Oreochromis niloticus: one gene and its partner. The protein of the gene in region 1 purifies or fractionates together with the protein of each later gene. This does not show direct contact. Links are inferred from orthologs where the notes say so. Each region holds a gene or a part of one and is shown on either strand. Other genes may lie near its edges.

The links.
Region 2: the proteins of cdk20 (region 1) and fkbp8 purify together in Homo sapiens (affinity purification with mass spectrometry; 5 studies listed by BioGRID and IntAct, with this or other methods). This does not show direct contact. The link is inferred for Oreochromis niloticus from reciprocal best matches to the Homo sapiens genes CDK20 and FKBP8.

What each region holds. Positions count from the first base shown.
Region 1 is NC_031984.2:4,339,549-4,351,499, forward strand, and holds cdk20 (cyclin-dependent kinase 20), read right to left. Parts: upstream 5,583-11,951; 5' UTR 4,940-5,582; coding exon 4,865-4,939; intron 4,718-4,864; coding exon 4,604-4,717; intron 4,007-4,603; coding exon 3,818-4,006; intron 3,539-3,817; coding exon 3,417-3,538; intron 2,804-3,416; coding exon 2,741-2,803; intron 2,132-2,740; coding exon 2,008-2,131; intron 1,245-2,007; coding exon 1,089-1,244; intron 891-1,088; coding exon 699-890; 3' UTR 293-698; downstream 1-292. Other genes in the region: protein UXT, read left to right, coding at 6,315-6,412, 7,861-7,942, 9,018-9,085, 9,270-9,377, 9,952-10,015, 10,360-10,422. UniProt on the Homo sapiens protein: Required for high-level Shh responses in the developing neural tube.
Region 2 is NC_031986.2:34,620,143-34,632,659, forward strand, and holds the start of fkbp8 (peptidyl-prolyl cis-trans isomerase FKBP8), read right to left. Parts: upstream 6,030-12,517; 5' UTR 5,857-6,029; intron 5,796-5,856; exon of another isoform or gene 5,577-5,795; intron 5,306-5,576; 5' UTR 5,294-5,305; coding exon 5,050-5,293; intron 4,923-5,049; coding exon 4,753-4,922; intron 4,639-4,752; coding exon 4,550-4,638; intron 1,850-4,549; coding exon 1,629-1,849; intron 1,429-1,628; coding exon 1,256-1,428; intron 1,171-1,255; coding exon 1,093-1,170; intron 1-1,092. Other genes in the region: ssbp4 (single-stranded DNA-binding protein 4), read right to left, coding at 9,733-9,762, 10,967-11,068, 11,155-11,183, 11,527-11,605, 11,827-11,897. UniProt on the Homo sapiens protein: Constitutively inactive PPiase, which becomes active when bound to calmodulin and calcium. Seems to act as a chaperone for BCL2, targets it to the mitochondria and modulates its phosphorylation state.

The DNA of each region.
Region 1 (11,951 bases):
TACTTTTCCTTGTCTGCTGTTCCAGTTGTGGACGCTCTAGTTAAACATCGCCACACACAGTACTGATGTCAGTGTGTGTACAAATAATCACTAATCCACAGGTTCAATCTGCTCTTACGCTCCGTTTCAGTCAGTTTTTTTTACCCTTGGTTCAGTATGATGCCACTGAGTACATTCCTTGATATGGTCGTCTCAGGCACACAGCTCTTGCTGAAAACACATCATTATTTTCAAGATTAATTCTCAGAAATGACATATTTAAAGGAAAAAAATGTTCAGGAATCAACCCAACTTCTCCACACTTTACTTTATTAATGACTTTAAATAAAACTCACAACATGTTTCATAAACAGAACAGAAACCTGCTTGATTTTGTGTTTTTAAATTATTTCATCCTTTTGCCAAATGGAGACCCGGTGGAGCTAAAAATCAAATTAAATAAATTCCTTTTAGTCCAATAAATTCAGTGTGTGGAAACGTAACTGTATTAGGTGATTTTCTCACGGTTACAGGTGGTTACGGAAGAGGTTCAGGCTCAGGAAAGACCATCAGAAATCTTCTGTGTGAGCTGAAATTCATAAAACAATGTGAATTCAGTCTATAGCAGAGCGTTCAGTAAACCAGATAATAAATAAATAAATAAAACAAGATTAACTGGTATAAGAGCAGCTTAGAGATGGTAAAGATCAGCGGTCAGTTCAGAGGCAGGAAGCATATCCCTGTATTAGGGCAGGGTCTACCACACTGTTCTGCAAGGGTAGGTCCACTGAGAAGTCAGTGGGCGGAGCCTGGAAGCGTTGGCGGGGGGGTCGCCCTCCCCTTTCAGGGATGGGCAGCTCTGAGTGGTGAGCAGGAATTGGCGAAGTAAAGAAATATGGATGGAGGAGAGCCTGCAGTAAGGAGGAGAGGACAGGCAGAGCACTGATCAATAATCAGTTTATTAAACTTTATCTGAGTGATAATGGGTGAATGGGAGAATATAATGGCTACGTTCCAAGAAATGATTCTTTATGTAAAAATGAGAGGACCTCTGACCGAGCCCTGAGGAACTCCACCTTTGAACTTAAGGTCTGCTTCAGGTTTCTTACCTGTCTGGCTGAGCAGCGCTGTTTAGATGGATACACCAGGAACTTATAGAGCAGGTCCACTGCCTGAGGGGGCATGTCAGGGACGATTTCCTCCAATGGGATTGCTGGATTCTCCTTAAAGGTGATTTTATTGTAATCTGGCAACTCCACTATCTCCTGGAGACAGACAGGAGAGGGATTAAAATGTTTTAACCAGTTTCACAGCCATAGAAGAAAAAAACAAGACAAAATTAAACTTCGCAGAGTGAATTATTTTACCTTAGCCTTCAGATAAAATCTCACACAGACCACAAAGATGTCGCCAGACTTCAAACAGTTGTAGGTTTTTAGAGTAAACACACACAGTTTCTTTTATCAGTTTGGTTTGGAGTGCCACAAGGATCAGTTTTAGGTCCGATTTAATTTCTCTACATATTCATCATCATTTACTGCTAGTCTAAAAACATTTAAACATTTTAAATAAAGCTAAACGGAGGCCAACCAATATTTCAGGCAGATGATTGCAGGCCTATCACATATAATAATATACTGATGATGATTATGATGTTGACTATGCACTGAAAAACATTATTTTAAAAAATAACACATTGCGTCTTTTTAGCACATTTAAAGTTAATGAACGTGGATGTGGGCGGACATTTATATGCACTATGTCCAAAGATGAAAGAGTAAACACTACCACAGTGTGAATACACTGAGTGAATACATGTGGAAATTAGGCAGTGTTCCAGTTTATTTTACATCCTCATTGTGTTTACATTTTCACGATATGTCTTTTATATAAAAGACAGAATGTGTGAGATGATACTTTGATATAAAGCTTAATACTTAACCTAATACAAAAAAAGATCGAGAAGAAAATGAATGTATATTAATGTAACGTCCCCTGAAGTGATGGAAAAACCAGTGTGTATCTTACAGGCCAGCTGTCCTGAGTCGGGGTTCCCAGCACTCTGAGGACACAGCAGAGCTGCTCGATGTCGTTCTCTCCAGGAAACAGAGGAGACGAGTTCAACAGCTCCCCAAAAATACAGCCGACCGCCCTGAAACACACACACAAGCGCACACACGGACTAAACAGTAAGCCATGACTTCAGACTGCTGCTGCCCCCTGCTGTTCATCTCTGATCACTGGACCAATTTACACCTGAGCAGGAACTGTGAACACTAACAGAGTTAGCGTGTACTGAAGCTACAAGCTTACTCTTTCTTATTATATGGTCCCATGTTACATAGTATGTTAAAGAGTAATATATAATAAAATATGCTGATACAGGAAAAGAATACAAGCAGGCACAACAGAAACAAAAGCATCTAGGTTTATTGAGTAAAAGCTAATCAGCAGAGGATTCACAGTAGATAATCAAATCAAATTTATTTGTACAGCACATTTAAAGACCAAAGTGCTTTCCAGTAAAACCATGATACAGATAAAATCACAATATAAAATATAAATTACAGATATAAAATAATGACATAATATAAATGCAGAGCCAGATGAAAATCACACTAATTAGCCTCGAATGCCAGGTTAAACAAGTACTATGTAACGTAAATGTATATAATGTAATGTAAGCTATAATGATCGAACAACAGCAAAAAAATAATAGTGTGGGCGCTACTTTTAGCAGCGTTTTCAGGGTTGTACTCACCACAGGTCGACTCCCTCGTCGTACTTTCGGGCTCCGTACAGCAGCTCAGGGGCTCTGTACCATCTAAACACACACAGTGGTCAAATGTAGCTCAGTGCATTTACTGCACATTACTGATAAAGTATCAGTAATATCCAGTTGAAAGTGGTGATTATTTTAGAATGAACTGAACCAACAAGTCACATGACATGGCGACTTTAACATGATTATTATTTACTGGTGTAATGAGCACCTCAAATCTGAATATGTGAATCTGTTCTGTGACACATTTGTTCACCAGTTGAGCTTTAAAGCAAGTCTGAGTGAATATTTAAAGTATCAACTGACTGCATTTTCCATGTCACCACATGGATTTTTCCCAGCAGCACTAAAGCTAATGCTGTGCTTGTGCTTACTTTATAGAGCCATTTTCTGTATTACATTCAGCCATTCAGATACTGCATTACTGCATTTTATATACAAAAGTACTTACTTTTAGGTTCATTATATTGCATTTAAATTTTCACTTGAGATCTTTCATTTTACTGTCATTTTTCTATTTAAATGAGCATTTTGCTCTTCGTGTTTTTTACCTCACTGAGTTCTTTTGGTAAGTCATACTGTATTTTATTTTGATTAGCTAAAGCTACCTGCTAAATAAAGTATTTCTTATTTAATCTCATCTTATCCTATTTACCTGGTGGCCACCTGGTGGCTGTACAGCCTCTCTCCCTGCTCGCTGAACAGCCGGGCCAGACCAAAGTCTGCAATCTTCAGGTGGCCTGAGGAGCTGATGAGCAGGTTTGCTGGTTTCAGGTCCTGCAAACACACAAACGTCATTTTATAATTGGTTTGATTTATTTTGTTAAAGAAAAGAAACCCGAACACCACCTTCTCACCTCCTCCTGCAACACCTCAGACTGCAGCAACTATTCAGTTTTTTAGCATTTCCCATATTTTCAGCTTTTCATTTATTATGAATAACCAACAGTATTTAAATAACCTTGTATGCTTAAGTGTTGCTTGTTACAAACACAGGATTCACTGAGAAAACAGTCAGATGACTCATTAATGATAATAACTGTTAGCTGCGCTCACCCGGTGCATGACATTGTTGTGATGCAGGAAGGCCACGCCCTTCAGCAACATCATCATGTAACTTTTGACCTGCGCAGGGGTCAGAGGGCGCTGGGAATTCCTTATGACCTCAGAGAGGTCAGACAGCATGAAGTCGAACACCAGGACGAAGCCCGTGCCGTGAGGAAAGACGTCCTTCAGCTTCACCACCTGAGGAGAAAGTCACAGAAAGAAGTCCTGCATCCCTTCAGACTCCAGACACTCTGCAGCTTCTTATAATTTTCTCATATAGCCTAATCTCCTTTTTATTAACATGTCTGTTATGCTTGGCTCTTTTCTTGCTGCTCTGCTTTGATCGTCTATGTTTTCCATGTACTAATTTTTGGTTTCTGTTATATTTTGTTTGTGACATCCCCCCAGCCACCAGGGGAGCTGGAGCATATCCCAGCTACCATAGGGCAAGAGGCAGGGTACACCCTGGACAGGTGGGCAGTCTGTTGCAGGGCTAACACATAGAGACATACAACTATTTGTACTCACATTCACACCTATGGGCAATTTAGAATAACCAATTAACCTAACCCCACTAACTGCATGTCTCTGGACTGTGGGAGGAAGCCAGTGTACCCGGAGAGAACCCAGGGAGAACACGCAAACTCCACACAGAAGGGAGTCGAACTCATACTCAGGACCTTCTTGCTGTGAGGCAGCAGTGCTACCCACCGCACCACCGTGCTGCTAAACACTAATCAAATTTTAAGATTAAAATGACTCTTATCTGTAAAAACTGTCTGCACATTCACTCACATGCTCGTTGTCCTTGATCTCCTGCAGTGCTTTAATCTCCCTTAGAGCCTGGTTCGGAATGCCGTCTTCCAGCCTCCTCAGAGCCACTTTCTTCAGAGCCACCGTCTCCCCTGTCTGACACACAAGAACATTTCCATGTCACATATCTAAGCCGCTGAGGTTAGACCCCAAATTTAATGCTGATCGGATTACAAAAAAAAGAAAAAAAGAAAAAAAAAAGAAATGAAGTAAGATGCAGACATAAAAGCACCAGTCCGTCACCTCAATATGTTTGGCCTTGAAGACTATGCCATGAGCTCCTTCTCCTGTCCGACCCAGAATGTTATACTGCTCCATGTTTTCATGAGCGTTTAAAACAGCTTCAGTTAATCTGGATTTAATCTGGTCACAACTCTCACTGATGTTTTTGTTAATTCAAAGAGTGTGTGGTTTGAAGTAAACCCCCAATGATATACAAATCAGCTCCTTGGAACAGCAAACCAGAGAGAGGAACGCAAACCTCGAACTTCACTCAAAAATTAAGCCGTTCACGATGCTGCGCACGATTGCTCAATAAGATACAGTTATTAAACTATTATTTTAAGCCCAGTAAAACTTTAAACCGTTAACTTAAATTCGGCTTATATTACATATGCAACAACAAACAGCTGTAAAGAAAAGTCTCTCAGAAAATAAATCCTGACCACGGGAAGCGAGACAGCTAGCTGTTGGCTAACGTTGCCTTGGCAACGTCTTAACTCAGATAACCCAGCTAAAATTTTAAAACCTGTTACTGTTTAACTTCTGCTGCCGGCTTGACACGCACGCTTGTTAAGAAAGAAACTACAAAAACGACGATATTTAATTTTTTTAATACGCATTTTCATTCAGGACGTTTTAATAATTGTTTCGTGTTACAGTAGCTAGCTACAGAGCCGCCCGTGGTCTGCCATGTTTGTTTACAGTGACGTCATGAGACAGGACCTCCATAGAGCCAGAGCAGGTAGAAAGCATTAACCAGAATCAACGTTTTATTTTGTTTTATTTTATTTTTGATTCTTTTTTTGTTCTTGTTTGCTGTTTCATTTTTTAACGTACAAACTTAACAATTTGACTTGAACATTTGATTCGATTAATGATTAAAAAGCAATTTAGTTTATTTTTTGGTTTATAAAGCAAGTCTTTTGAACTGCATAGAGATGTACTTGATGTGTCTAAAATTTATAATCTGCTCAGGAAAATGCTTCAAATTTCCCTGACCGACAGACAGACTTTTCTGAATCCAATTGGGAAATGTTTGTTTTACAGCAGCAGGATAAAGAATAAAAATAATTCACTCCGTACTGGTATTCTACATAACGAAAAAGGCCTTCTATTCTACTATATTAAAAAATAAAGTAAGAAATTTTTTTTAGAGTTTCCGAGTTTATGCTATCATTAATTGACAAGCTTTTGCAGCGTTGCTGTCGTTTCGTCTTTTCTGTTTTCACTAAATCTATTCTTTGGGTTCATTTTGAAACCCGGAAGTACTTGTTCACACTTTCTTCTCATCCGGTGTAGAGTGGCGTGTTTACGTCCTGTCTTAGGCATGCTAGCCGGAGAGTTTGGTGTGCAGAAACATTAAAGTTTACGACAGAGAGATCGGGCAGTTCGCAGCTGGACTTTATCCGCAGCTCAACCGAATGTTTTTTCTGTTATTTGTAGCTTCTTTTAAAGAGAAGACAGTGAAGAAATGTCTGCTCCCGACAATGCCACAGCTAGACCTAACGTGGACCAGAAGGTCCTGCAGTATGAAACCTTCATCAACGAAGTCCTGAAGAGAGACTTACAGTAAGAAGACACTACAGCTGATGTCTGAACACAGTTTATTATGTCCTTACAGAGAGCTTTATTCAGTTACAGAACTTTAAAAACTAAAGTAAAAGAAATGTAATCTGTAGTTAAAGTAGTGCAAAATACTTGTGTAGATATGAGTTTATGAACTCAGATTTTTATCCAGGCAGACTTTGAACAGGTAGTAGAGGCGATATGAAGGTCAATGAGGAGTGACTACAAATTAAAGTCATTTAAAGCTTAATTAACAGCCTAATAAAGGTCAAGTCTCACAGCTGCTGATTGTATAATAGTGCTGGTGTCATTTTGGTCCCCCTCCGTGCCTTAATTACTTGCAGACTGATTATTAAATATTTACACTCACAAGTTGCTTTTTTAGGAATACCTGCTCAACCCAAATATCTTATCAGCGATTCATGTAGCAGCAACTCAATTCATTTAGGCATGTAGACGTTGTCAAGACAGCCTTTGCGTGCAATGTGTTTTTAATACAGTGGGATTGTTATACATGTCACTGCTGTGCCAGCACTGCAACAACTGGGGCAACAAACCAGACAGAACTGGAGCGTTTTGACCACACTAAGAGGAAACCTCTTACTGCTTCACATTCTGCAGCCAGTACTGCAGAGCAGAGCTCAGCATGAGCTAACAGAGTGCGAAGCACATCCAGGGACACAAGCTGTTTAGGAAAACTGTGGAGTACACTTGGCAATTGGGTCAACAAGCTCCTTCACAGCTCCATTAGAAGCAGCCTCAGACCATCTTATTTAAAGTGGATCAGTTTTGTTAATTTACAGCTTTATATTGTTTTTCTTGAACACTATGACACTAGAGTAGCTTTGCATGATTCATAGTTCAAAATAATTCTTTTTTGCCTATGACATGACTGGTTTAGCTCCCCAGACAGCGGGTGGGTGGGCTATAATAGGGATATCTCCTCTCAATGACATCATACAGATTCAAGACTTGAAAAAGTATTTAGAGCAATCTAAGGCGTTAGCCTTTGGTTCACATGGGTTACTTGTACATGCACAGACCCGACTGGTTGTGTTTAATGTGAACACTGACAATTTTATTAGGGTGTAAGAAAAGAAATACAGAAATTACTTTGTACAGTTACAGAACAAAATGGTGCAAAAATCTAAAAACTACACCTAAGAAGGAGCTCAGTTATATAGAAAGGATACAATAATGAGCTTGAATCTATTATAAGTACACATGTGTGATGGATAAGAAGGGTAGATCTAATCTTACAGGTATTTATGTGGTTCTTCAGGTTGGCATCTGAGTGTTCAGTGACACAGACTAAAGAGTTCAGGTGTCTGAAATGCTGTTTGGTGCTTTGAATCAGATTTTCTTGGCGTGTTTAGGCTGTTTGAATTATTTTGGTGCATCTGAAGGCGTTAATGTTCTCTGTAAATCAAGTGACGGCTGTCGTTTGGCAGGAAGGTGGTGGAGCAGAGGGATCAGGTTTATGAGAAGATCTCTCAGTACCTGCAGCTGAAGAACACCATACAGAGTCTGCAGGTAAACGCACACAAAATGTACTGTGTTATTTTGAAGATCTGTAGGTTTTTCAGTTTAGAAAAGAAGAGATTTCCACATCAAACTGGAGATCGTTGTAGTGTTTGTGCTGGCTGTCATTCTCTGTTAATGTTAAATGCTTCTGTCTGCTGGTTAATGAGCTGCAGACTGAGCTCTGCCAATACAGACATCTCTCTCTGTAGCTTCTCTGTGTGAGCTGTTTCTGTAATTCAGCACACTCTTCTGTGAGGAAAGATGGTGGAGCTTATCGGACCTCCATCAATACAGCTGAGCCTCACTGCAGCTGTTTATCCAGCAGATCAATACATGTGGCTCATTAGGCCGAGAGCTGTGAACCCAAACCTCCATCGTCTGGATCAAAGAGCCTGAAACTACAGCTGGAAAATCAAAACATTCAGACATTTTACCTCCACTTTTCAGATATTTAAAAAAATAATTTTTTATTTGTTTTTATTTTATTTAGAGGATGGACGTTTTTATTTTAGTTTTCAGATATTTTTTTAAATCACTCTCATAATCATTGATGTCTGTGTAGGTTTTCAGTCATCCAGGTCATGGTAATCTAAGGAGCTTGGAAAGAAAAGCGACTCGACTTCTTTAAGTTTCTTGAAGACGTTTCATCCAAGAAGCTTCTTCAGTTCTAAAACTAAACGGTGAAGAGTCCCAGGTCTTTAAGTCCTAGTGGGAGTTGTCCCATAAGAGGGTCGTTGACCCGACTATTAATCATGTGCCCCATCACACACCTTGGCTCATGTGATTTAATACTTTGAACTGTCCAACATTTGGTCTTAGAACTGAAGAATCTTTCCGGATGAAACGTCTTCAGTCACTTTTCTTTCCGAGCTTCTTACATATTCACTGATATATTTTTCTGTGGAAACCCCGCCAAACAAGCCAAACTCATTCAGTCTCTTTTCTAACTGTCATGTCATGAACGTTAACCTCTAACATGCTGTCTGAGGCCTGTAGACACTGAGATGGAGTATTTTTTTCTCTGAGCTTGGGCCGCCTGTTCCACGAGTGAATGAAAGTCACACGCTTCTTTGTGTTCCTGCAGGAGGCGGGCTCTCAGCAGCTGAAGACAGACGTTGATCTTGGCTGTAACTTCTACGTTCAGGCTGAAGTGTGAGTTGCTGACACACGAAGGTCACCAGCAGCTGTTCTGCATTCGAACAGGCAAAAATGCTGCGTTTAGGCTAATGAAGTGTGCTGCGAGACTCCAGAGAGGCTAGAGCATCCGTGCTCTGTGTTTCCAAAAGGATTTCAGTTCCTGTTTAAACTCAGTTCTCTTTTCCTTCTCCTCCATCAGTGAGGACTCATCCAGGATGTTTGTGGCCGTCGGTTACGGTTTCTTTGTGGAGATGACTCACGACGAGGCTCTGAGGTTCATCGAGAAGAAGACGAGTCAGCTCACAGCGTGAGTTCATTGTCACTGTAACACTATTAAGATTAAAAGTAGGAGAAAAAGCATAAAAATGTAATTATGTTTCAGACATTTTTCAAATGAGCTCAGAATTTCACTTTGTTGTGAAATTATTTGAAAAAAATATGTTAGAACTATTTATTTTGAAATGTCCTGATTTTGTTTTTAGATATTTTTGGTGGGTTTTCTCAATATTTATGATTTTATTATTAATTTTATCTTTAGATATTTCTCAAGTATTTTTTTCACACTTAAATTTTCCATTTTAAAACATTGATATTTTTGTTGTATTATTATTTTTTTCTGACAATTTCCTGTTTTTATTGTACTTTAAAATTAATTTTTATTTGTTTATTTAGAATTTAGAATTATTGGAATTATTACTAATTTCTCTATTAATAATATATTACTAATATTTTTTATTTTATATTTTCTTTTTTTTATTATTATTATGATTGATTATTTTTTACGATTTGTTGTTGCATACCAATGTCTATTAGCTAGCTCATGTTAGCTCTTTGTTAGCACTGTCACTTTTTGCCATGCTAACCCTGTGTTTGTGTTACAGCTTCACGGAGCAGCTCACAAAAGACTCTGCCAAAATAAAAGCCCATATCCGCATGGTGCTGGAGGTCAGTTTCTTCTCAGGTGGATTATAGGACAGTTTTTATATAATAATAGTTTCTGTTGGGTGCAGGAGTTTTCCTCTGGCTTATACTTAAGTACTAAATAACTTGTTACTCATTTCTGAGGATTTTACAGTCAATGAAGTTTGAACATTGAACTAGAAGTAAAAAGTTTTACCCATCTAATGAAATACATCAAGATCAGATTTGAATATGTTCAGTTAAAACACTGTTTTTCAGTATTTACTGGTGACAAAAGGGTTAAAATAGTCAGATTGATCTGATTAATGACCAGATGTTAAAGAAGCAGGTAGAGAATCTGATTGGCTTCTTCATGTTTCCCTACTCAGGGTTTGAGGGAGCTGCAGGGCCTGGGCGACCTGCCAGAGAGCAGAAGAGGAGACGTTTTCTAGACTTTCCCACCTGACCAGCTGCAGAGGACGGGTTAACGAAAGCCGGCTGCTGATGTCAACGGTGTGTTTTGAGAAAACAGGCTCGAGGAGAAGGAAAGACTTCAGGACTAAAGCCTGAATCCCAACAAGTCCTCACAGAGCTGAAGAGGAGGATTAGTGCCTGAGCCTTCTCCGAGTCAAAACTCACAGTCATGAAACACGTACTCTCGACGTGACTTTGTGTCTTTGTGAAACTCGTCTGTTGAAAATCAGAGAATATTCCTGTTTTTTTGTTTTCTTCAGTGTCACAGTGAAGAAGGAGCTGCTCAGAGATACTCCTGCAGCGTCTAAACAGACACTTTCAGTCAATGTGACAAATTCAGGTTCAAACAAACCTGATCTCATAGGTTGAAAATAATGTGACAGGAAGTGAGTTTTCACTGTTTGGAGGTTTAAATAAATTGTTTTGTGAAAATGATCCGGACAGCTTTCCTTCCTTTGGTTTGTTGGACCTGTGCTCAAGGTGTTTCCTGGGTTTTCATAGAAATTCTTTGGATGTTTTACTGAATCTTTATTGAGGATTTAACTTTTTTTTTTCCTGACTAGCTGTATTCTAAATTTCTTTGAGAATGATGTGTTTATTCAGGTGTTTCAGGACTTTCAGCATCATCCAGCCTCCTCCTGGAAACCCTGCTGAGGCTGATCCGACACCAGGATGGGTCCACATTAACGGGTGGGTACTCTCCTCCCCTGGTTCTCTCTTGAGCCATCTTGAAGTTTTCTCAGCTGTTTCACTGGAAATACAGATGTCTGTTTTCCTTAATCTTCTCTTTAAAGACCAACAAGTCGAAGGCTTTGGACACAACACCTCCTCATCCGGCCTCCACTGGGAGACACTTTGCTCTCCGTTCAGCTTGCTGACAGCCGGCCTCTTCTACGGCGGTCAGTCGTCCTCCAGGAGTGGGGCCGGTGACTCCCCTTTACCAAACATGGTGTGTCTCTGGTTTCCACAGTTCGGTCCAAGTTCATGTTCTCTTTGACCCTGCTGCCTCATTCCTAACCATCGACCTCCACGACTGCTGTTCTCACCTCTTTCTGCACTAAGCAACATGTCTTTCTCTTTGATGATGTCACGGCAGGAAGCTGAAGAGGCTCCTAGACCAGCACTGGCTGTTGTCATCACTCCCACCTGCTGCAGTCTGCTGCTTAAACATCCTCCTCTGCCCCCCCCCCGCCTCCTCCCTGTCCCCACTTCACGCTCAGCTTTGGCCATATTTGGATCTCTGTACTGCCACACTTCTCTGGCTCTAACCACTTTGAGCTTTTTGTACTATTTCTTTGTACATTATTACTCATGATAAGCTTTTTACATGTCAGTAATTCTTTCAATAATATTTTTAAATGGTGTTTATTCATTTTATGGCCTAATAAGCTTCCAAAACACGTTTCAGTTATTTTAATATTTTGAAATATTTATTTCGCTGAACATTTGTCCATATTTGTCTTATTTTCTTATTGTTAGTACAAATGTAGTACAATTTTCTCTATGT
Region 2 (12,517 bases), on another chromosome or scaffold:
GTATTGTCGATGCTTCTTGCTGTTAGAACACGGGGTTATTTAAGGAATCTTTTCAGTTTTTAATGGCACATTTTAGCATTAAAAAGGGAAATCTAGCACTAAATTAGAAACGTGGTGACACACAATGATGACTTTTATGAAATCTGATTCCCCCCCCCCCCCCCTGGTTTAATTCAGTTTCTTAATCTACTTTGTTTTTAAATGTAGCTTTGGTACGTTTCATTTTAATACCTCTGGTTTATTCCGTTTACTACACCTCTGCACTTGTTTCAGATTTGCAGATATCAGACATTTAGCTGCATTTCCCCAACTACTCTCACAGGCCCATTAACTTAGCAATTCACCCGAGCCACAGAAACACTCCATTATACTTGCACTGTGTGTGTTGGCTGAAAAGAGGTATGCAGGCCATGTGCTGTTTGACAGATTTGTGTAGGACTGAAGTGGGGAGTTCTGGGCACGAGCACCAAGCTGCTGCAGCTTACAGCTGATCCAAGAAGCCCACACGTTTAGACGAGTTTCGTCAAACGGCCTCGCGTAGCCAAAGAACCACGTATACCCAGTTGTATAAGCAGAACAGAAACAGTGTTTATGTGCTGGATGTGGCTTGAGTAGAACCTATTCACAGCAACAATCTGGAGACGGACCCCTTAAATTGATCAATTGGCTCTACAAATACAGAGATAGTTTACCCTATAGCCCCATCTGCTGGCCATAGGAACACACTGTTATTTCTCAACACCACAAGATGTAGCCAACATTTAATCACATGAGTCCAAAAGTAGGGGCAGCGGTGATTAGCACAGTTGCCCGAGTTGGAGCTTGTGGTCTTTCTGTGTGGAGTTTGCGTTTGGGTTCTCTCCGGGTACTCCGGCTTCCTCCCACAGTCCAAAGTAACTGGTGATGCTGAACTGCCCATAGATGTAAATGTGGGTGTGAACGCTCGTCTCTCTGCATGTTAGGCCTGCGACAGACTGGCGACCCGTCTACCCCACCTCTTTCCCCTCATGTAGCTGGGATAGCGCCCACCCAACCGCCTGCAGGACCCTGATAAAGATAAGAGAAAGAGAATGGATGGATGGCCAAATATACCTTGTTGCTTGGTTCCAGTTTAAGTGCCTTCCTTAGAGTCTGGATGGCTTCTGTGTATTCACCTTGCAAGGCCAGTACCTAAATCAAAGACAGGTACCCGTAAATAAGAGAACCAACTAGTTTACTGACAGAAGGAAACTGAAAGCACGAGAGCTACGTGCACCTTGCCCATGCGGAAAAGTGCCTTTATGTTGTCTGGCTGGTGTTGGAGTGCTGACACGCAGGACTTCAGCGCTGCATCATAGTGGTCCAGTTTCAGCTGAGAAGCAGCCATGTTGTTTAGACACTTCACTTTCACATCCAAGAGCCCCTCTTCCTCCTCGGGGGTGATGTCAACTACAGCAGGAACAAAAGAAGAAGAAGTTTAAAAAAAAAAAAAAAAAAAAAAAAAAAAAGAGAACAGTACAAGTTATTATTGAAATGGTGCGTCATTACATTAGAGGAACATTGGTTAAGCCAATGATGTCTTTTCACTACAACGGCCAAATATAAATTTACAGGAATGCATCGTCAACGTGAGCATCGGCAGAGCTCACCTTTAGAACTAGACTCCGTTATCTGCAGGGCAATGCTATACGAATTGACAGCAAAGGCGTAGTCTCCGCGCTGATAATGGGCATTGCCCCGCTCTCTCTTTTGGCTGGCCAGGGCAATCTTCTCTGCAGGGGGCAGCAGCTCCAGGTCTGGAGCATCTGTAGCTTCCAGCAGTTTCACTTCTAGGGACAGCTCAGCATTTGCAGGAACTGCAGGTTCAAGACTAGAAAGGGAAAGACAAACAATCAGAGGCAGAGTTTAAGAGAGTAAGAGACAACAATCACTGGATTACACAGAAAACAGGACCTGTCACGTGTCCCCGCAGAGAACGGAAAACCATTTTTCGTACAGTAAAAAGTAGGTTTAGCTTTTTAAAATGTAGTGCTTGTATGTGGTTTTTTAAAATCTGCATTAGAGATTAGCTTAACCTGTGTACAGAGCCGTCCAGGTTTGCTTCAGCGTTTGGAGATGAATTTCTTTAGGCGTCCTGATGATGGATCACTTACATTTCTAAAAAGATGCTTAAAAAATAAAAAATCTCCACAGAACAGCAGCCTCTGGCAGCAATATTAAAACTGCTGAATGAAGGGTAGTTTGGTCCGAGGAAAGAAACTACTGCACTTTTCTACATAATGAAAAGAGAAAAAACCTGCAGTGCAGAGGAGCACTACGGCTTTCCTTCAATTTTCAGCTCATATGAAAGTTAGGAACTTGATCATGGTCACAATGTAGGACTGCATCGAATATGCACATAATCAAATGAAAACAACAAAACAAAAAAACAACCTAGAAATCTTCTGAAATAAAAACATGGACTTCTTTATGAACTGAAGACCAGCAGTGACGGGTACAGCATCACTCTTCTCACTCACTCTCTTTTATTAAACACACACAAGTGTGGAAGAGCATTTTCATTCAAGTAAAAGTACTTTTTACATTGTGATATTACTACGTTTTCTTATATAAAAGTATTCTGCAGCGATTGAAAACATTACATTAAAGTTTACAAACAGTAATTAGATACATCCATAGTCAGACGATTAAACACTGCTGCGTTCGCGAGTCTAAAAATACTCTCAGGTTTAATGAATGCGCAGCATCAATAAAGCGTTTCTTTGAGATGGCACCAGCTACTGGGCAGGCAACAGCGCCTCTCTGTCTCTCTCTCGAGATGGGCGATATAAACAAAAATCAGAAAGATGAGAGCCGCACAAACCAGTGTGACTCGGCAGCTCTGTGGGGAATGACGGGGTGTGCAGTGCCATGAAAAGAGTATTTCCCCCTTCCCAATATATTATTATTTGCATATCTGTCACTCTTCCATGTTTCAGATTAAACTAATTTTCATATTCGACAAAGAATCAAATAATAAATTAAGTCATCATTTATTAAGGGAAAAAAAATCTATCTAAACCTACCTGCCCTGTGTAAAAAAAGTAACCGTTCCCCTTGTTAAATGATAAATGAACTGTGGCCTGATCGCTGTCAGTCCTGCTGAATCACTTAAATAGAAGCTGTCTGACAAAGTGACGCAGGCTAAAAGATCTAAAGAAACAGCTGAGAAACAAAATCACTGACATCCATCAGTCTGGAAAAGATTACAGGGACATTTCTGAGGCTCTGGGACTCCAGTGAACCACAGTGAGATCCATTATCCGCACATGAGAAACTGGGAACAGTGCTGAACCTTCACAGGAGTGACCGGCCCACCAAAATTCACCCAGGAGGTCACAGAAGAACCAGAACAATATCTGATGACCTGCAGGCCTCGTCTGGCTTTGTTAAGGTCAGAGGTCATGACTCAATCATAAGAAAGAGACTGGGCAAAAATGGCCTCAGTGGGAGAGCCTAAGGAGAACACCACTGCTGACCAAGAAGATCACAAAGGCTCATCTCACATCTGCCAACAAACAGCAGGATGACCCCAGAGACTCCTGGGAAAATCTTCTGACTGATGAGACAGAAGATGAACTTTCTGGAAGGTTTGAGTCCTGTTACATCTGCATCAGACTAACAGCGTTTCATAAAGAGAACATCCCAGCAGCAGGTGGACACAGTGCTGGTAGTGTGATGGTCTGGGCGGCTCTGCTGCTCCAGGACGACTCGCTGTAACTGAGGGAACAATGAATTCTGCTCCATACCGGAAGGAGGATGTCCGCAAATCACTTCATGTCCCAAAGCTCAAGCGAAATCAGGGAGCAGAGCAATGATCCATACACAGCAGCAAGTCCACCTCTGATTGGCTCAGAAAGACTAAATGAATGTTTTGGAGTGTCCGAGTCAAAGTCTGGACTGAGCTGCTTCAGCGTGATCTTAAACAGGCGTTCATGCTGGAAAACCCTCCAGTGTGTCTGAATTAAAGCATTTCTGCAAAGAAGAGTGGGCTTAAGTTCCTCCACAGTGATGTGAAAGACTCACTGAAGGCATCACAAATGCCTGGTGGTGGAAAAGCCAGTTATCAGGTTTAGGGGGTAATTACTTTTTGATTTTTGTTGTTTGATTGTTGGGTTTTCCCTGTTCCTGTTATAATATTAAACCAACATGAGATTATTATTGTTATGCATCGCTGTAGAAGGATTCTTCTGTTTTAATTGGTTAAGATAAAGCTCATGATAAACCATTTTGTAACCTCTAACTAGAACCACGCCAACAGATCGGCTAATATTAGCTATGTGCCGATACAGCCTTATCGGCCACGATAACCCACACTTAACTCTAGAAACTACTGTGAGAAACAGTGGCACAAGCCAAGACCTGTGCTCTCCAAAGTGTGATCAGAAAGTCACTAAAGCTTCATTAGGTAAGTGGACAAGACAGAGAACTGAAACCCACTTTTAAATGAATTAGCATTGTGAGAGGGCCATTATTAAACTTGAATACAAAAAATAACAACATGGAAAAACAGCCTCAAACACTTCCTTACCTTCCTCTGGCACCATATGCATATTTGGCATCAGTCTGGATGAGTGCCTCCTCTCCCATCGCCATGAGCTGGACTGTCAGATCCAGTGCCTGAAAAGAAGAAAAGCTCTCTTCAGAAAATTAAGGAATCACACATGAAGTGTGCAAACTCTGCACACAAACTTCCGCAAAGAGCATTAATAAACTAATCTAACAGGTCTTTACCTGGATTACATCACCATCTCCCAAAGTGAAAGCAAGATCAGGCTTCTCCTCTACGACAGTCCCGTCCACCAGGCTCGTTTTAAGACGGATTTTCACATTCTGTCCTTTCTGTGGTCGACTGTCTCGCCCTTCGCCTTCCTTCAGGACTTTTTTCTTCAACTGCCCGTTACCTGGAATCAGACACAGTCACATGTACAACACTGACCACTGTCCATATCAGGCTCAATGCCCATCACTAATCAAGCAAAGTGCAGCACAGCCTACACTGCTGTGGAGCACATCATGGGTCCTACATACCCAAAACATCCAGCCATTCATCGACTTGACCTGTAGGGTCGGGGTTTGTATTTTCTGGATTTGTGGGTTGCACCTTCCCTTCCCCGACATCTTCCAGAGGAGGCGGCTCGTCGTCGTCAATGTCTTCCTCATCTAAAACTTCGAAGTCTTCTCCGCTGTCCAGCAGCGACGTTTTGCTGTTCTTCTTTGCTGATTGCGCATTATCGTGGCTATCCGACTCCATAATCTCCTCTCTGTCAGTCATTAGCAGACCCCTCTGGTAAAAAAAAAAAAAAGAAAAAAAAAAAAGACGGGAGACAACGTCAAAAATGATCCTTTGCTTAACTCTTAATGCGTGTGCCCTTCCAAAACACGGAGTCCAATTCAAATTAAAGCTCAAAACAGTGTTTAAAGATCCCCTGTCAGTCACGCACCACTGAGCTTGTTACAGGCTAACAGCACTGAAATAAAACCTGCTTTCGCTCTGAATCGATCAGGATTATTAATCGATTTTGGCGTGACGTGATGCGATTTCACCTCAACATTACCTGTTAACTGTTGTTCTACAGCAAGAAAGCCCACCAGACGTTTCCAGAAGTTTCTAACAAGTTGCCCTGCTGTCATGTGTTCCCACACGGATGGCAGGCTGCTGCTAGCACACGTTAGCCGAGGATGTACAGCTAGCTAGCTGCTAGTTGTCAGCATTAAATTAGCAATTTTTTTACTGTCTCTGAGTGTTTATCACTGCTTATACCGATCCCCGGTGGAGTGAGTCAGAGTTAGGGATTTTATAATAAAAAGCCTGTATCAAAATAACCGGATGCTTACCCCGAAATTGTCTGTGAAGAGCCGTGTTTTGGTTCTGAGCAGTCTCCTTTAGCTCGCAGTGCTGAAGTTAGGTTGCTGTCGGAGAACATGAAGCCAGTGAGACCTGGATGTGTCGCTGCATGCCAATATCAACCTGACTTCGCCACGATCTGTTAACAGCCCCAAGCAGGCTGCTTCCTGTTAACCTTGAGACCCTGCACGTTTATTGGATGTTTCATGCTTATTCATAATTTACCTCAGAGGCAGCCATGTACGCCTGCAGCTGCTATTTGTAATGATATAAAATGACTTATTTTTGCTAGTTTAAAACACCGATGAGCACACTGAAAGCTAAGAACACTCAAAATGTATTAAATTAAAAAAACAAACAAACAGTTTGTATCAGTGATTTAAGGGGTGAATTTACACATGAAGACTTTGTGTGCAGCTCTCTAATGTTTTGATTTATTCTGAAAAATGATTTTAAAACTGTGATTTACATATTCACCATGGCTAGACATGTGTTTCATCCAAACACAAATAAACAATGCTGATGTAAAGTTTTCCAGGAAAAATATGTTTCCAGTGGAAATATGTTTTTACTGATTAACATCATCACGAACAAGCAAAAGTCTTGAGTCACTCCTTGGGCTTGGTTAATGGGAAATAACTGCAGCACCTTATTAAAACATGTAGAAAACAGATGGAAATACAGTACAGAAGAGGCTTTAAAGTATCTGGTGTGACCACCTATATTCTTCAGCACAGCCTGGATTCTCTTGAATGAATCATCTGTGCAGACAATGTCAAAAGAAAAACGTAGAAAATTCTTCAGAAAGCCCGCAGGACTATTGCCCAAGCGCACTTGCAAAACAATGATAAGCCCAGCTCTTTGGAAGCAAAATATGAAGAAACGAGGGATGACTCAAGAGCGATTGCCCGAGACTATATGGAAGATGAGTTAAATGAGCGCTAAGAGGGAGAGAGAGTCAAACAACAAGGAAAAATCAAATGACATTTATTATTGATGCATTGTTTCTTTTTTGATAAGCAAATTATCTGTTTTTCTTTCAGTCTAAAGAAACTTTACAATATAAAGAAACATACAAAGAACATCTTTATTACCTACACAAGACACCTAAGTCCCTAAGACAAGATTCTGAACTATCCTACCATGAAATACAAAGCAAACCCAAGAGACAGACTGCTTCATATTGAATACTGCCGTGTCATCAGAAAGGACCGTGAACGGTACAGGAGAATCGTTATACGCCCTTACCCCGATTCCCCACCCCTCCCCGTCTCAATACAACCCCCCCGCCCGACCAGCAAATCTTCCTAATGGTACAGTATTATACATCACAATAGAAGTACAGAGATGGCCGACGATCGATATACACAGAGGACTGAGAGAGGATCAGTGAGAGAGCTTCAAACTATACAACGCTATTACAGGAGCGAATAGCAAAGGACACAGTTTTCCCCATAAGTATTACATTTTGATCTTCTTAATTTAAAATGAGGTTTCCTTAAGTATTTTTTCCTTTTTAAAAGTTTCTTAAATTGATAAAAATCCTTCATATTAAAAACTGCAATATGAGGTCACATGTTTTTTTTTGTGAGAAGATGCCCTTTTTTGTCGTTTTTCTGGAAAAACTATTCACATGATTTTTCAAAACCGAAACACGAGGAGTGGAGGGCAGAGCGAGGACGCCGCGGCTCTTTGCTCCTCTCTGTCCCGTCCTCCCCGCCACGCACGCCTTTAGCGTACGGTCTGCATTAAGTGTGTCAATGTATTCTATACATTTAGCCATATTTACTGTATTCTAGAAATTTAGCCACATGAGCCAAATAGTGCATCCTTTCACTATGAAAAACATGGACAGATCTATTTATAATTTACTTTCAGCTGTATTCATTGGTAGTGACTGACATATCAAAACATGTCAATGATATCAAAATGCATTATACAGTATTTACAAAAAGGGAAATCAAAGGGTGAGGGGTGTGGAAGGAGGGGGAGGGGTGGGGGAGGCGTGTGTCACTACATAGGAGGAACACCGGACTGAGTGATCCCCAGGCCACCGATGCCCAGACCCTGGAGATGTCCCTGTTTAACGCTGCGTACAAACTGTTCACATTGATATCAGGAAATCGATAAGTACATCACCACCACCCATAGAGGCAACGCTGGTTGCTCAGTTATTGTTGGTTTGAAAACAGCTGCGAAGCAACTGAAAGAAACAGTTTACCCTCTGAACCGGTGACAGCGAGCGTTCATCAGAAACAAATTAAATAGCGTACTGTGTGACTGTGACATGTCTGTGTGCAGATTCTATGGGCTTTATTTTTTTAATCAATTCCATACAATTGAAATTAAAAAAAAAATAGAAACTTATTGATTGCAGGTAATCCTCTTCTTTAGATGGTTTACAATCAACTCTGCTCCCATCATCAGCGCTCCCACTGCCGCTCACCCGGGTCCATTATCCCGCGCATATGGGACTCTCTGATGGGAACTCCACAGAGGCAGGTATTTAACCCACAGTTAAGAAGGTGGACCCAGCAGGATTTGTGATTTCAACCCAAACGAGTGTCTCCCACATTTGCTTCCAGCCCAAAAGGAGTCGCTGGATGGACCAGAATGAATCCTGGGAGGAAAAAGGGGCCACTTGGAGTCCATAAAAGCAGTGAAATCAAACAAAGCAAGAGGATGAAGGGTAAGGAAACACGTTCCAGGAGTCACAGACGACTTGTAAATAACAAATAATTAAAAAAAAGAAAGAAAAGAAAACACAGTACAAGCTAAATATGTTACATTTAAAGAAAAGACCCAATCCGTAGAGGAGACGAGTGGATTCACAAAATTTCTGAATTAAAAATGGCACCTGACAATCCTGACAATCACGTCAGGGTGTCATCGGAGCCATTTTCTACCAGCAAAAGAGCAGGAAGCTAGGAGAAGGGTTACTTTTTAAGACAGTACAGTTAGACGTGTGATCGTCAGGTGCATCTACAGACACACTGTACCTGAAAACCCACCTCGGTTACCCAGATACTCTTCCCGTGAAGTTTGGGGAACACATTTAGGAGGCAAACACTAAAGGAGTTTTGTGACGCGAGGCTGACGGTGGCAGAAACGAGACAAACAACAAATCAAATCACATAAACAGAAAATCATTGTGCATTTTACGAGCGTGTGCTTATTCTGTCACCGTCGACGCTGCTGCTGAGAGAAAATGTGCCCTTTACAGGAAATCATAACTACATTAGTCAAACGATATCAATTATGAAAATTAGAACAATAATATCAGCAACAACAAAAAATACAAACACTGAATGAAAACCGTTCACGCCCCAAAATGACATCATCAGTTCATCTTTTTTAACCAATCCTGTCACAGGAGCAGAGCTTTTAAAATGAGGGCTCTTGGCCCCGGGTCGGAGGACTGCTGCGCGCCCTCGTCAGTTTTAATCAGCTTGATGTGAGAACAGGGTGACGGCGGGGCGGAGCTGAATGCGGAGGGGCGTCTCGATTGGGCCTGGACGTCACCCACAAAGGCAGATTTCAGGTTCGAGAAAGACAGGCTTGGGGCAGGTTCGGGGTCTCGCGGCGCTCGGACCCTCGATGGGGCGAAGACGAGATCCTTCCTGCTGCTCGGAGGCCTTTTCATGTTCTTACACCTAGTTTGGAGGTGTTGGTGGGATGGGGGGCCTTGAGGGGAATCCTGCTTTCCAGGGGAATCCCCAGGGGCTGTGTGGCACAGCACACCATCCACGAATAGGAGGAAGAGGAGGAGGGTAATGCAAGACGCATCAGGGTGGACGGGAAAGGGAGGTTGAGATAAAGGGAGATGAAAAAGTAAAATAAAATAAAAGATTAAAAAAAAAAAAAAATCACACACTCATCGTCATGTTGGGTGAATACTGTAAAGAGAGAAAAAAAGAGAGCAAGGGAGAAAAGATAAGCCAATACTATATTTAACTTGTTCCACTATCCAGTTTAATATAAAAGCAGTTCAGCTACTTAAACTAAATGCCATGTCAAGTCCACCAGCCTTCAGCAGCAAACAGTACACACAAAGCTCTTTCTAGTTTATTCTGTATGTCAGTAAACTCAGCAAGCAGAGCGAAGCCCAGCCCAGAGAGAAAATGTGAGGGAATTTCAGATCACAGTGACGGTACAGTCTGACATTAATCACGCTACGGCAATGGCTCCATGCACCAGAGAAGGTATGATGTGTGTTTTTGTCCATGCTTGTGTGTGTGCATGCTGTGTTTCTGCGAGGGAGTCGGACAAAGCTGGGAACACGGGGCGTGACACGAAGGACTGTGCAGAGGGCAGATTTCCAAACCGGGGAGACTTTTGTGTGCAAAACACTTCAGCTCAGTGTTAATTTAGCTCTTATCATTGTAAAGCAAGGCAGCACTACAAGGTTTCCTGACAGCTAACTCACAAGTTCACAGGAGACTGTGATTAACATGCACGGATCAGTAAAAATACAATAAAACTAATAAAACTAACAAACACCAGCAGCAGGATATGGATCATCTGTGTCGCTGAACACAGATGTGAACTGAGCAATAAGGAAATGAAAGGTTTTCATCGTTCCGTCTCTTAACGTTAACAAAAATAAGCCAACTAACTCCAGTCTAAGCTTGTAGTAACACTGAGGCCCTCCATATTTAAAAATCACAGCTCTCAGCTCAGTCACATATCTGCACCGAGGTGAGATTTCACGCTGACAGAAGATTTTTGTGCTGTTACACTCTCCACCCTGAGTTTTCATAGTAAAACATCTTCAAAGCTCTCAGTCTGTTAACATAATGATGTTCTGGAGCGAAAGCAGTTTCACATGACTGTCATGTCTTTAATTTGAAAAACATCTCACTTCAGTCTGGTGGTAAATGAGTCCTGTCTGAGACAGTGAGGGACTCGCCAGCTTTCTAAAATGGATCACTTCAGACCTCCATCTATATTTGTCTTTAGAAAACCATCCCCCAGGTCGCCGTGGACAACTGGCAGCTACGATCATCTAACGTAGAGGGGGTGAGTGAGTCTCATGCCGGCGGGAATCTGTGTCAAACACTTTGAGGGTTTTTTTTTTGTGTCGTACGACACGGTACTCACACTTTCACTTTGGAATGGGTTTAAAAAGTTGCCTGCCATCTCGCCGTCATCCCGCGGAGTGCCGGGAGGATTGTTCATGCCTGCCATATTGTTGGGAGAATTCTACAAACGTGGACGAAACGCACCAATGAGAATAAAGAACTCATACAGACGGACAAAGAGAGACACGCAGGCACGGACAGACCTACCTTTGGCAACCCATCCATGTCACCAGAGCCTGTGATTAGAAAAGGAAAAAGATAAACAGTGTCAGTGCAGGATATCCAGAGCTAGCAGAAATTGCTTGCACTTAAACAACTAATGGCTTTTAATTAAGCTATTTGTTACACATACAGATGAGCACTAACTCAGCTGGCTTCACCAATCATGTCTCATACATCAACAGGATCAATTGGCCTAACTCACTGCCCCGCTAATCAATTTTCCCTTTGCTCAATACTGAGAGGACACTTCCTCGATCTACCATTAGAGGGCAGAGTCCACCTTGTAAAAGCTTTTGAGTGTCATATGATTCAGTGTATGGGCTCATAGCTTACTGTACCACATCTTTAGGTACGCACCTAGTGATCCATTCATATGATGCTGATCCATAGCACCCATTCCACCCATGGGCCCATCGGGACCTGGTCCCATTGGGAACTAAAACAAAAAACAGGCACGTCAGTCATTTTTATTTCTATAGTCCAATATAATAGATCAAAAATTACCATCAGAGGATTTTAAGACAAAACGGCTACAGCTAAATAAGGTACTGTCTCTCAGTATTTTTGCAGCTTGGGGAACACAACATGTTAGCTGAGTGGTTTATAAAAAAGAAAATAAATAAATATATGAAAACTGAGCCAAACGTCAATACATACATTAGGTCTATTACCACCAGGGCCGATGGGGTTCATCATTGTGTAGATGTTTTCGCTTGAATTTGTTGAATCTACGAACAGAAGAGCAGGTGGATGTTTAGGCTCACTGTGCTTCACTCCTCCCAGCCTGGGAAGCACTTACAGGTAAACTGCCTCTTTTTATATGCAAAATCCATGAAAAATTATATAAAGAAGTTTTGGTCCTTGAGGTAAAGAATGGGGAAAACTGAAGAGACATAGGCAGCACCAAGTTTACCATTGGTGTAATAGTTTCTGCTACAGTACAGGACAAAGACCACCACCGAAGAAGAAATAGAAAAAACATCAGTTCCTCTTTCTGCCAGTCAATGCACTCGCTGCTCTCTGCAACGCACAGTCAAAGAAACCCATCTTATTCCTGTAACAAGGAGATCAGTTGTTATACGGACACCCTGGCAACTTGGCATCAACCAGTACACGCTGTGTCGCTCCTCGCGTGCGAGTCGGTCTGTTCTTAAAAGATTCAGAGGAGTGAGGTGACCTTGATCTGACATTGCAGGTAGAAATTTGTGAGCAGATAACTGAGAAAAGCACGAGAAAGATGAATGATGAGCTGAAAGACGAGGAGCAGAGATGGACAGAGCGCATGCACGGCACATGGGGTAGAGAAATCTTGCCCATTAGCGTTCCTGAATGCGGCTTTTGTTGTCGT